Linked DNA regions of Mus musculus. The protein of the gene in region 1 purifies or fractionates together with the protein of each later gene. This does not show direct contact. Links are inferred from orthologs where the notes say so. Each region holds a gene or a part of one and is shown on either strand. Other genes may lie near its edges.

Region 1 (6,442 bases):
GCTTTGAATAAACTTTCTGGAAAACTTTTCTGTTGCACAAGCTTCCCAACTCATGTAAGACCTTATTTGTTAAAGTTGATAAATAAAATGTCTCCATAAACTACTGTAACATCTGAGAGCCGAATGAGTTCTGCTACATTGAAAACAGTTTGTCTACTTTTGGTTATTTATGAACAAGTCAGCAGTTTGGTTTGGTTGCTTAGAATAATCAATCAATGCCAGAATTTGAAGGTCTTTTTCCCTGAAATATTTTAGTTTTATAAAATCTTTTCCTACTCCCCACTGTACAATAAAACAAATCAAGTTAGTTTCTAAACGACATCATTCATATTTTTATCTCAGATTAACTTTGACTTGCAAAGATTTCCAAATCAGTTTATTCTCAATATCTTGACAGTTGGCAGCACCAATGTTAACCAATTAAAATTATCCAAATAGACACATGTACAAAAGATATACAAATTAAAACCATTTTAAAAGCAATGGATACCATAATTTGTCTGTGGCTATACCATCTACATTCAGAAGTGATTGTGAAACTAAAACCCGACATAAAAACTGTACAGCATGGACTCCGAGCGACTCCTGTTTCAAACAAAGCCGGCAGTCTTTCACTCACACACTTAGTGTCTCTGGTGGGTTGAGAAGAGAAACACTGTGATATCTGTTGAGCAGAGAAAAAAAAAACTTTTAGTAAACATTCATTGGGGAGATTACAGAACAATTCATGTACCCCAAGACTGGAGAAATGCTACTTTTACTTGATTATGAATTTAAAAACATTTGATACGTAGAGCACATACATCTGCCCCCTTACCCTTCTCTTACCAGAAGCAAAGGCACAAAAGCTTCCTAATACATGACTTAAGAGCCAACTGAGGTAGTGGCAGGTTACTGTATTCAACAAGAATTGGATTCTTACTTTGAATGCTTGTACTTTTCCCGTATTGACTGTTGGGCATGTTGTGGCGCTTTGAGGTAGGTCTGGTGAAGGTCCACAAGACAAGGCTTAAGACTCTCCAGGGTATATCCAGTCTGTTGTGCCAATGACTCAGGCTAGGGAAGGGACAACCATTGAGTTTTTTGTAACAGCACAGGGCACTGACCACAAGCTCACAGTTGATCTAAATATTGGCACTAATCATTGACAGGATGTTTTGTTATTTCTAAATGTTGCTCCCTCCTCAATTCTTCACTCAGGGTGTCCCCCCTGTTTCAGCTCACTCACTCCATCTTTTATTTTGGCTGTTTACTTCCCCTGCTTGCAGCAGGTGGAAGGCTCAGATTCTTGAAGCAGAGCTTTCAGTGCACCTTTACAGCTAAGCTTTCAGCCCAAATCAAAGCGGCACCCATACTGGAGAAGGCAACTGGTAATACACACCCAGCTCTGTCCTGTGACTGTGTAGAGAGCCAAGTGGAAGGCAGCTCCAGCAATGAGTGAAGGCAGGTACTTAAGGTACGGGTCAGCATCTATCAAACTCAGTTCTCCCAAAAACTGAAATAAAAAACAAAACAAAACCCCAACTTTTATAATCACACATAAGACTCAAGATTTTGAATCCTTGCTTCCTGACCAGTTTCCATTGTCTTGGATCTCACTGGTTCTGTATCAGCCCTGGGAAAATTATTTCAATGTTTTCCTCTATTCTCAGCTTACATTTCTCTCCCCTAATATACTAGGTTGTTCTCTTTAAGCCACTAGTTAGCGCCTTTCCAGCATGGTCACTTTTGTGTATTCATTGGGAAGTTCTCTCCTGAACCTCTCAGCCCCTATCCATGGACACTAGATACTTAAATCTCTTACATATAAAAGATGCATGCTATTTTCATAAGTTAATGCTATATACATAGAATATCACTGAATTACTTGTAAAACAAAATAGACAATACACATATGATTGGTGTGTGCTTATCCAGTACATGGGCAGCTACGTTTAATGCCTGTTTATTATACCATAAGTGCAGAGCCCACAGGTAGAGAGGGCCATAGCATTTTCTGTGTATTGGAGCATTAACTGTCCGAAAAGACTTAAGCAGTGTTATTTGACGAAACCAGTGCTTGCCCCTTAATTGCAACCTAAAAACAACCCCCAAACTGGACTTACCATTGCTAAGCTTTCAACCTTACAGTTTGCAGGCTGCAGGTGCAGGAAGTACTGGGTAAGGAACTGATTTACTGTTGGTGCAGCCAAGTCAAAAGCAAGGACTTTCAATACTAGGTGCTCCATTCTCAGAACCTGCTTCTTGGAATAGGTATCGTCTGTAATATACACAAACTCTGCTACTTCTGGGGGGTATATTTCTTCAAACTTCCTATAACAAAAGCAGTTGTGAGTGAGTTTATTCAGAAGGTCTTGTCTTAATCTGAAGTGCAAAGACTGTAGACTCCACTCACTTCCATCAACCACATCCCACTGACAGCTGACTGACATCTCTAGCTGAGATGGTTAAAACCAATTCAAAGGCCCAAGTCACTAAAGGACTTCTGATTCGCCCCCTGCATACAATATCTCCTGATAGAAGGAAGATACAGCTTATACCCCAGAAAGCACTTTATTGTAGAAGAGCCACACTTTCAAACTCAATCTAGTGTGATAAAATGTGGTTGGCCTATGCTCATTCAAGGCATGTGAAATCCAGATCTAGAAAGCTTTATATATTAGATTAGAAAATAAGTTTCACTCTCTGTTCAGAATCATCCCACAGCCATTCCTAAAACTGGGTGTTGAAGAGATGGTACAATGGTTAGAGTATTGGCTGGGACCCAGGTTCAATTCTCAGCACCCACATGGTGCTCTTAACAGTATATAACACCAAGCTTAGGGGACCCAATGACCTCTTCTGCCTCAGCAGGGACCTCACATGTGCTACAGATATACATGCAGGCAAAACATCCAAAAAATATATAAATGGGGGTGTGGGGGGAGTAGTAGTGAATGATGACTCTGAACCAAACTAGGTGGACTTACGAAGCTAGCAGCATAGCAGCCGTGCCTACAAGCTGAAGCTTCCCTCTTAACACAGACATGGAGGAGAGGAATCTATCAATGTAGTTCACAGCCAAATGCAGGGTCTCATTCTGTAGTTTATATTCTTCTCCCACCTCAACCAGCCAGTCCACAAGGATGGCCCTCATGCTGTTAGTGATGTCTGGCTGCCTCTTCATGTAACCCACTTTAGGTTTACATTTAACCTGAAGGGGGGGGGGGGAATCAGAGTTAACATAATTATCAGGTGACTTCATCATTCACAAAGAAGCATACACCATAATCTTAAGTTTAGAGTAACTTGCTAGTAGTTAGCAGGCGTCAGCATTACCCTCTCTGCTTCACTTAGCCATTTGTAATGAGCAGAGCCTTACCTCCATTTCCCTAAGGTACGTGTGAATGTCTTCTTGATAGTCAGGTACTTCATTAACGTTCACTGGCTTGTCTTCTAAGACAATAGACATATCCATAGCATGTGGTGATTCTGTGTGTGTGAGATTAAAACCAAAGTATTTATCTCTTCCAATCAAAAACACCCTAATAGCAAAGCAACATAGAACATCTAATTCTGGTTTTAGGACTTTTGTCAAAGCTCTAGGATAACCTTAGTTCCAAAACAGAAATAAATGTATGCATGTATGTACACCAATAGGCTACTAAGAAGACGGAGAATTACTTTAAAGTATCATCCTCCACAGAGATGAGCAGATGAAACAATGGTTCTTTTAGGACAAGAACGTAACAGCAAAGTTTTAAAATAATTATTTTTGCCTTAAGAGAGACTGCAGATCCCATGGGTTGCCATAGTCAGATCATAATGAGGGAGTCATTAGAATCAGGTAAATGGCATGATTAACAAATGTTAGTAAAGATATCAAGTTTGTCATATCATGTCCAAACACTGATCTGTAAGGGACTTGGTGTTTGTTAAAATTGGGTCTCATTCTATAGGCTAAACTGGCCTGAAACTGACTCTGTTGCCCTAGGCTGGCAATCTTGCCTCAGCCTCCTGAGTGCTGTTTATAGGCATTAATATACTCAGCTCTAGTTTTTACCATTTCAGTTATCTTGAGATGGGAGAATCTGTGTAATAAACTGTTTCCATATCCTCCTTCCCCATCAGCAGAACTAAGTAAACTAAAGCGGCTGGAAATGGCTTAGTGCAGTGCCTGCTGCATATGCCTGAATGAAGATATGGCTTGCATTCCCAGCACCACACAGAAGCATTATCTGTAACCCCAGGAGTGGGAGAGGAAAAGGGTTGAAAATAGTCATATCCCTGTGCCTCGATGGCCAGGCTGTCTAGCCAAATCGCTGAGCTCCAAAGAAACCTTTTATCAAGAAATGAGATGGAAGAGTGGTTGAAGATACCCCAAAGTCAAGTACTCCACTAGTCTCTACTTGTACCAGCACAGGCAAGCACACCCCTTCTGCTGACACACACAGCATAAGGTAGAATGTGACAGATACCAGTATCTCTGGTCTCCATGCAGTGATGTCATAGCAACCGCAGAGCTGTCTACCGCAGCTATTTTGCCTTCCATGTGTCTGACCTACAAGCTGATGAACATTCAAACAAGTTTTAAACGAATGGTAGATATCACAATGCTTAAAACTGTAGCCTCAAGGAGCACTCTTAGGGCTGGCATGTTAAGGAGTGAGTCAGACACAAAACTGAAATCTATTCTCCTAGCCAAACATTTATAAAGTCAGATTAAGATAGATATTTACGATCTAATTAAACTTGATGTTGGTTTGCAGTGCCCTCCTGCCGGTTAAAGATTTGAGTCCTTTCATAGGTCAGTACTAGTCATGAGATTGCGGTAATCTTAACTCACTGTGTATGATCGGGTAAGACATAATCTTAAAACTCAAAATATCAAGATATAAGCTACAGGTTGAGATCCTGTCTCAAAAATAAAAGGCACAGGCTTGGTGGTTGTGGCACATGCCTTTAATCCCAGCACTTGGGAGGCTGAGGTAGGTGGATCTCTTAGTTCAAGGTCAGCCTGGTCTACAGATTGAGTTTCAGGACAGTCAAGGATACTCAAGAAACCCAGAGGGGGAATAAAAAGACAGAAAGGAGGGAAAGAAGGAAGAGAGACTGGTAAAAATAAAAAGCAACCTTACCAAAACTGCCATCCATTGGATAGTCAAGAGGTGTCAGTGGTTTTCTTGCTCCGGGTAAAGAGACAGCTGCATTAAAAGCCAGGGCATCTTCACACTCTGTTTCTTTAAGCTCAGCTGGCCTCTTCTGAGTCTCTTCTGCTTCATCCACATGAATGGTGAAGGCAGGCTGTTTACTGACTGCTTTCCATGAAGGACCAGCAGTGACATGCTCATCGTTTATAGGAAGGTCCTTAAGAGGAGCAACCTAAAGAGGAGGAATCTTTTTCAATACAACTTTGCTTCTAGCCCGGTGGGTATCAGCTTTTAATTCCAAATACTCTAAGAAACATATAAGTCCATGAGGCAAAGCCCAGGTAAAGGTGTGTAAACCGATCTGTCACAGCCATTTCTACAAAGGCTATAAATAGAACGGACTGGAATTCCAAACTAATCAAAGACTAAAGTTAGGGCAAAGAACTGATTCACAACTTTAGCCCCAGGGTGGAGCAAAACAGCAAGTCTGGCTAAAATGGCGGAATTTACCACGAAGAATACTTGCTTTATGTCCTTCCCTGAAGTAGTAATCTGGGAAGCAGATGGTGAGGGGGAAGGGATCTACATCCTAATGCAATGCCTGGCTTTAAAAGTGGAGGGAAAGGTACACAGCTGGGGGAAGTCGACACGCGAGTGGCAACGCTTGGTATGACCCCGGGCATTTTTTGGAACGCGGCGCCACTAGTGCCGAAGGGCGGTCTACACGGGTCGGCAGAGCTCGTGGGACTATTTGGTACTAGAAACGCCCGGACCGCGAAGACTGCAGCCTGACTCCCCCTGGAATGCTCAGCGTGCTTTCCGGCCCTCTGGGCTGCTAAACCCAGGACCGCTCCCGCCCGGCCCTCCTCCAGACCCCCGCGCCCTATTACCCGTCGAGTCTTGAGCTTCTGCTGCGGCGCGGGTCCACGCACGTTCCCGGCCTTCAGCACCGCCTGCGCCCGCGGCTGCTGGGCTGGCGCCAGTTTTTCGGGGTTGACATTCTCTTGGTCTTCCTGATGCAGCGAGAGCAGGGCTGAGCCCGCATCGCGACCCGAATGCCTCGAGGTGCCCGGCATCGCGGCTCCGGTCCGGTTCTGTCGGCGGCAGAGCGTGCACAGCGCCCGCCGCTCCGGAGCAGCGCGGGACCCTGGCGGCCGACCCGCGGAGCAGAGGCTGCAGGCGGGAGGAGCGTAGAGCCCAGGAGCCGCGAGCTGCGCGCCGCCCGCCGGCTGCTGGTCTTGTAGTTCAAGTAGCCCGCGACTATTGAAATAAACCAATGAGGGCGTCCGGAGTCCGTGACGTCACCAGAAGCG
Region 2 (7,656 bases), on another chromosome or scaffold:
GTTCTGTGGAAAGAAAATATTAAGTTCCATGTCACTATTTGAAGTATTCAAAATGAATTGTCGGTGTAATAAATAGTAAATGCGGACAAACTCGTATAATAGCATTGTTCTACCATTTTATCCTTTGACCGACTCTGGAAAATAATTTCTACCTGCAAAATCATTTTCAGTGAAGAGAAATGTAATCTCTTTGAAAAAAGAACAGCTAATTCAAGTCAGCTGCTGGATCTCAGGCTAATTCACATCCAAATAAATAAATTGATGCCATACACACTTAGCTAAGAAAGGGTTGTTCTAGTCAAACCAGATCTCTGGGGGGTGAGGGGGGGGGGTGGGGGCTTAAAAGATTAAACTCAGAGAGTCCACCCAAAGCTTCCTCATTCAACGGGATGAAGGCCAGCATCTATAGCACTTCTGCTTTCCTATTGATAGGAAGGATTTCTGAGCTCCTAAAGATATGTGCCATAATTCCAAGGAAGACTCCAGTTTAACAATGCCACCTTTTAAGTATAAAAAGGTAGCAACAATTTCTATATATGTGCAGGATTTTGGCACCTGTTTTATACTAAGTGAGTCACTTTTGCAGGTAGAAGGAACAACATCACTTTCCTTTACAGCAAAGCTTACCTGGCTCATGAATCATGTAATGAACCCATCCTAGACTCTGTTGGACACCAAGTCTCCTCCACTCCTCTTCGGACATCAGATGAGTTTTGGGTACTTGTTTAGAGAGTTCTCTGGGTAACATGACATGCCTATTAAAATATTCAGCCAAAGATTAGTGCCATCTTTCCCACCAACATCACTTTATACAGGAACCTTACCTTTGAGATACTTGAAATTGTGAAGGGTTTTTATCCTCAAAACAAACTAAATTCTCTAAAGCAACTCTACACTACAATATTATCTGTATCGATCTATACTTATAGCATATACTTCTGGCTTTTGATGGTTTATGTTAAAGTATTAGGCCAATATAAGTTGCACAAAAATGAAAGGCATTTTATTCTGTAGGGGTAAATTTCTAGCAGAATACTTGTTATTGAGCTATCTTCTAGGAATAGGACCTTAAAATCTAAAAAGTCATGAAGCAACTCTTGGTCTATAGGATATAGGTAGAAAATATTCATGTACTGGAAAGTATACTCAAAGAGCAAGACCATACCCAAGTAAAAAAATATTCTCTCCTGTTAAATAGACTGGTGGTATTAGGATAGCTAGAACAGCAAGAGAAAGTCAGAGGCAGTCTAAAAGGGAGTTATATGTAACTTATATGTAAGAGTAAGGAGCCTAGTCCCAGAATTAGTTGTCACCTCAACCTGAGATTACTAAACTTTTAGTACTGGGGCTTGGAGGGGGGGGAACCAAACTAAGTTAATGTGTTCCCTGTTATTCAATACTAAATCTGTAGTACTTGTATATATTCCAGTTTGCTTCACGCTCCAAATTAAAAGCAAAAATATGCCTTTGGAACTTCATGTGACCGTTGGTTTCCCAGTAAAGTGCATTTCCAGAACGTTAGGAAGCACTTAAGTCTTTAGTATCAAGCCATTATCAACACAATTTTTCCTTTCTGTGGAAAACCCACACTAATCTTTTTTTCCCCCCAAAGACAGGGTTTCTCTGTATAGCCCTGGCTGTCCTGGAACTCACTTTGTAGACTAGGCTGGCCTCGAATTCAGAAATACGCCTGCCTCTGTGCTGGGATTAAAGGCGTGCGCCACCACACCGGGCTCCCCCCCACCCCCCAGTAATCTTTTTTTCCTACTAATGGATCTAACATATAATTTAATGAACAATTAAGCTAAACCAGTAATGTATAAGTATTATACAGAAATCTTAGAATCTCATGGAGACTTAGCCATATCTATCACTAATGACTCAGCTGTTTCTTTGAGACCCGCCCCCACTCCTTATCATGCTGCAGTGGAAACTGGCCTCAAACTATCTTTTTGCCTTAGGCTCCCAAGTGCTACAATTACAGAATTGGGTACAACATCCATCCAGGTGTTTCTTTCTAATGAATTGACCATTAGACTTACAAATTTCTGCAATGGCCAACAGACCATAGAAAGATATTTCTTTAGGCTCCTGCTTGAAACCAACAGCTTCAGTAAACTGCGGCCTTGATTCAGGGCCAAAACAAACAAACACAATTTTAACACATATATACACAAGCAAATTTGTACCCTAGCCTGCATAAAGCATTGTCACCACAAAGTATCTCTAAATTTCAGCCTCACTTTAATTACCCCTGGTTTTAACTTTACACAAAGTTAGCAATTAACATTTTTTGACCAGTATAAGTCAAGTCTGAGATGGAGGTGCAAATTCAGCTCTGGACTTTTGGAATTGGGATAGTGCAGTCCATAGTCCACTCTAAGCACCAAACTGCCCATAACAGGTTTTAAGCTGTGGATTTGAGCGCAGATAATCCTTAACCAGCTTTACCACAAGGCCGATGACTACGTGCCATCACTGCCATTTCCAGGCACATATTAAATAAATATTCTTACCCACACAAGTTACCACTCATTCTTGAAATACTGCTTAATGTTTTTGTTACTGTTACTGCTTTGCTGCTATATATCATAGTGGAGGAAGGAAGGATTGCCAAGTTTCAGGGCACCTATTTGAGTTCAGAGAGACTTCCAATAATCAAGACTGTACAAAATAACCCATGACCTTATCTTTCCACTGATATCAGTCTTTGTTGTTGTTTCTGGGGTTTTTTTCCCCGTTTTTTTTTTTTTTTTTTTTTGAGACAGGGTTTCTCTGTATAGTCCTGGCTGTCCTGGAACTCACTCTGGGATCAGGGTGGCCTTGAACTCAGAAATCTGCCTACCCCTGCCTCCCAAGTGCTGGGATTAAAGGCGTGCACCACCACTACCGCCCGGCCACTGATATGCCTTAAGTGACAGACATTATGCTTGTCAATTAGCTTTCACAAACAGTACTGTCTCTACAAGGCATTCAGATACAAGGAGCCTCAAGTATCTCCTACCTGATAAGTCATGTCAAGAGGCTGCACTTCATATGGGGTCATTTATAATGTACATGATTTTATTTGTATATTACTACTGATCATGTACCAGGAAAACTATTCTCAGAACCCAGTTTTTGTTGGAATACAAAAAGTGCAATATATGACTCAAGTGCAAAGAAATCCTCCATTTTATTTCTGTAAGGACAGGCTGGGCCTGATGACACACAGGTCCCTCCCCGGACTAGTAAGGCAGATGCAGCTAGAGCTGTCTACATGGAGTTCCAGGACACCCTGGGTTATGGAGACTCCCTCAAAAATGCCCAAAAGGACTCCCATGATATTTGAGGAGCAGTCTACTCTGTTCCTAGTAATCACCCCTTCACAAAATCACTAAGTTTTGAACTTTATCCAACACACATAGTTCTACTATAAACAAAACACCCTAGACTCACACCTCTGTGTCATATCACCAGTACACAGTCCCTGTCAAGAGCACCTCTCTAATTCTTTTGTAAAGGTTGGTCAGTTAAGCTCAAGCTAGTGTGGCAACACACCCACCATCTCAGCAACTGCTAAGGCAGAACAGCAAGCTTAAACACTTCATGTTTCAAAATAAAACACTTTTTTTGACCTCTGGATTCCAGTGGGTAATAAACTAGCTCCTACTTTATATTGGAGTAAAATACTTAAGACAGACCAGCAGTTGCTCCCCAAAACACGCACAACTTATATACTCCAAGTTTAGAAACTAAAACTATCTCACTTTGACAACTAAAGAAATGTATATAAACCCATATGCTAAACATTTCCATCCAAATAATTATTTGCCTAATTTAGAAAGACAGTACAATTACTTTCGGTCATTTTTGGATATTTCCAAACCAAGTTCTGAGTTACTATAACGACCAAATATTAAGCCAATTATCACATGGTTACCATTGTGAAGTTTGTAATTACTATGTAAAGACTGTTATGTATTTAAATTTTTTAGTAAGGGGGAAAAAAAAAACCCATGAGACTTCCCTACTTAAGAACATTCAAGTTTATAGCATTAGTGCATCGTCAAACAGCCTGGAAAAAGTTTTCTGGCTGTGAAGACTTCTACACTAGCGGACTGAGAGAATGGGGGGTGGGGCGGTGAAGCCACTCTTTTAAAAAGTGTCTCATCCCTCAAACAGCATTCTGGACACTAACCTAAAAGGGCAGCAAACAGAAAACAAGGTCACTATTTGCCCAAGGGAGGAACAGGTTTTACCCACCTGGAGTCCTTGACTGTGTCCCAGAATGCAACGCTCTAATCCCAACCCAGAAGAACCCAGCGACGGAAAGGCCTTTGAAACCACACCCCAAGTCATAAGGGATACAATAAAGTTAACTACAATCCTCCCTTACTTTCCACAATCCCATTTGCTAATTATATTAACGTAGGTACTACCTTCCTGCGCATCTCAGGATTTAAAACTCAAAACTTCCTCAAAAGCCCCAAACGTGGCCAATATGGACTAGCAGTTGAAGGTAACGTAGCCACCACCACCCCAATCCTTCCGAAGGCAATCTCGAGTTTTCAATTTGATCTTGAAGCCCTTTAACAACGCCCCGTGTTACAGCGTCTGGAGCCGTTACCCATCAGACACTCGATAATGCCCGTCGGGTGCGTTTCCGGGGACTTCCCCTCCCGGCCAGTCCGGGCCAGTGCGGTTTGCGGTCGTGAACTCCCAGACTAGGCGCTGCCCACCCATCTAACGACTCCCCATCTCCTGCGATCCCCGCAACACTACACAAAGCAAGGCTGCCCGGACGGACGGAGGCCTCTAAGGGGGTCCGAGTCCCGACCACCAGGTCTGACCTCCCAGCGCGGCCCTCCTCCGCAGGCGCTCCTCACCGGTACTCGTAGTGCTCATCGAAGTACTTGTCTGAGTAGTAGATCTGCTTGTGGGCCATCCTGCCGGCGCGCAGAGGAGTAAGCGGGATCAGGAAACCGGGCGCAAGGGGCTCTACGTCCGCCTAGGGCCGACGCAACGACTCGAATGAGGCCAACGACCGCAGGCCCAACGCTCTGGATTTGAATCCGACAGCCCTCCGCCGATTGGGCGAAGCCACCAACCAATCACGCTCCGCGCAGACCTCGAGGACAGGTAACCAATCAGAAGCCTGTTGCAAGATTGCGAGGGCGGGAGTAAGGATTGGCTAACGATTCAGCGAGGAGCGCCCGGCGACCCCAAGAGATATTGAGAAGGGCGGAGCCGAGTCGTTAAGTGCCTCGCAGCGCGTGCGCAGTGGTTTAGAACGTGCCTGGGGGCAGAACCGTTGGGTGGTGGGCGGACACGAGATGAGGTATCCGGGGCTCTGGGGGCCGGAGCGGCACGAGACGCCTGGGGGGCGGTCTCTGTGGTCAGGGAAGTCCAGCTGCGGAGCGTTCCAGAGGGTAAGGTGCCCTCCGCTGCCCCTGATGGCAACGCTAATTACGCTTGGCTGCGAGCTAGTCCCATCTTAAAAAGATGTGCTCATGTAAAAGGAAGTTGAAAGGGTGTTAAGTCGTGGTTTCGTGCAGCAAGTTACATATAACAACCATTTTCTACAATGAGCAGGTGTCATTTTTCTTTTAATATTTTTGCGATTTGTTGCAGTGGATGAATTGCTCTGGTGTGGCTGTTAGGATAACAAAGTAACCCACGGCAGCTGGGCGTACTGGCCCACACCTTTAATCCCTGTACTCCAATGCCAGGTCAACACCCCTCCCTCCTCCTTTTTTTTTTTTAGTTTGGTTTGGTTTTTGTTTTTTCGGAGACTGGCTTTTCCTGTGTAGCTCTGGCTGTCCTGGAACTCACTCTGTAAACCAGGCTGGCCTCGAACTCAGAAATCCATTTGCCTCTGCCTCCCAAATGCTGGGATTAAAGGCGTGCGCCACCACCGCCCGGCTGTTTTTTGTTTTGTTTTGTTTTGTTTTGTTTTTGAGACAGAGTTTCTCTGTGTAGCCCTGGCTATCCTGGAACTCGCTCTGTACACCAAGCTGGCCTCAAACTCAGCGATCCTCCTGCCCCTGCCTCCCCAGTGCTGGGATTAAAAGTGGATGCCCCATCACCGTCCAGCTTCAGCCTAATATCTTTAACAGATGGTAGGATAGCAAAGTGTGATCCTGTCTAAAATAATAAAAACGGAAGTCAGCATGTAACTACAATTTTATTTTTTTATAGAGTTGGGTAATCAGGTGCCTGCAATCTTTTAACGACAGGTTTCCCGACTTCACTTGGCCCTCAGTTAAAGAGAACACAAGATCGTCTGACTTCTTGCACAACTTTAAAGTTATTTTTAGCACTAAAATAATAAAGGTGCTAATTGCCTACCGATATTATCACGTGAGACAACAGGTGGGATTAAAATTTCAACATGTAAATAGGAGGATGTAAGCATACACTCTATAACACAAATAATATGGAGGTATGAGTTCTGTTCTGAAAGATCTTTAATTACTATCTAAGCAGTGGTTCTCAACCTTCCTGATGCTGCAGCCCTTTGATGCAAGTGGTGATCCTTAACTTTATAATATTTTGTTGCTACTTCATAACTATAATTTTGCCACTGTTATGAATTGTAAATCTCTGATACTCAGCTCCCATGGGAGTCTAGTAGATTGAGAACAGCTGATCTAGAGAAAGTGCCCTGCTTTCCAAGTCTCCACTGATAGGGAATCCTTTAGATCTCCTGCTCACCAGAACGGACATTGGCTTACACATTGTTTCCCTGCACTATTTATTCTCCATGCAGTGAATGTAGAGAGCATACTTACTTTGTTTATTATCCATGTCTAGAGCACAGTAGAGTCCCTGTGCATGGTGGATACTCAATAATGAGGTTCTTAAAAAATATACCAGCCAGCCGTGGTGGCGCGAGTCTTTAATCCCAGCACTTGGGAGGCAGAGGCTTGAGTTTGAGACCAGCCTGGTCTACAGAGTGAGTTCCAGGACAGCCAGGGCTACACAGAGAAACCCTGTCTCAAAAAACCAAAAAAAAAAAAAAAAAAAAAAAAAGAAGAAGAAGAAGAAGTAGTCGTCGTCTCTATTCCTAGATAAATAATCTGGGAAAGGAAAAGGAAATCTTTATAGCAGATGTATTTTGAAAGACAGTTGCCAGGCATGTTGGCTCACTCTCTTATCCCATAGGTCAGGAGGCTAAGACAAAAGGATTGCTAAGAGTTCAAGGTCTCTCTGGGTTACATAGTACCAGTCAGCTAAAGTTAACAAAGTGAGATTGTGTTCTCAAGAAACAAATGAGAGGCTGGGCAGTGGTGGCCCACGCCTTTAATCCCAGCACTTGGGATTAAAGTAAGTAAGTAAGTAAGTACTATAAAGCAAAAAGTATTCTAATAGATGCAGAAAAATAATAAAATTCACATACATATAATTCAAACTCAATAAGTCTACCTACCAGGCACTGATTAATACTACTCAGAAATTATAAGAAGGGGAAAGTTTAACTGGGAAGAGTATCCATAGAGACCGATGTTAACATAATTCTTATCAAGAAACATTAGAAGTAGTCCCTTAAGGTTTCTCTGTTAGCTTTGTCAACAGCAGGAAGTTCAACTTGCCAGTGTAGACAGTGTATCCTCAGTCCCTCTCAGGAACCTCATCCTGTGTACCTGCGTCCTTGATGTCCGCCACAGTAACAGA

Evidence for each region.
Region 2: the proteins of Ccna2 (region 1) and Cks2 purify together in Homo sapiens (affinity purification with mass spectrometry; 3 studies listed by BioGRID and IntAct, counting the BioPlex papers as one, with this or other methods). This does not show direct contact. The link is inferred for Mus musculus from reciprocal best matches to the Homo sapiens genes CCNA2 and CKS2.

The regions. Positions count from the first base shown.
Region 1 is NC_000069.6:36,565,619-36,572,060, forward strand, and holds part of Ccna2 (cyclin-A2), read right to left. Parts: 5' UTR 6,206-6,442; coding exon 6,020-6,205; intron 5,362-6,019; coding exon 5,118-5,361; intron 3,472-5,117; coding exon 3,362-3,471; intron 3,194-3,361; coding exon 2,970-3,193; intron 2,314-2,969; coding exon 2,106-2,313; intron 1,496-2,105; coding exon 1,382-1,495; intron 1,057-1,381; coding exon 923-1,056; intron 665-922; coding exon 616-664; 3' UTR 1-615. UniProt on the Homo sapiens protein: Cyclin which controls both the G1/S and the G2/M transition phases of the cell cycle. Functions through the formation of specific serine/threonine protein kinase holoenzyme complexes with the cyclin-dependent protein kinases CDK1 or CDK2.
Region 2 is NC_000079.6:51,642,684-51,650,339, reverse strand, and holds the start of Cks2 (cyclin-dependent kinases regulatory subunit 2), read right to left. Parts: upstream 5,109-7,656; 5' UTR 4,928-5,108; coding exon 4,869-4,927; intron 2,142-4,868; exon of another isoform or gene 2,006-2,141; intron 756-2,005; coding exon 628-755; intron 4-627; coding exon 1-3. UniProt on the Homo sapiens protein: Binds to the catalytic subunit of the cyclin dependent kinases and is essential for their biological function.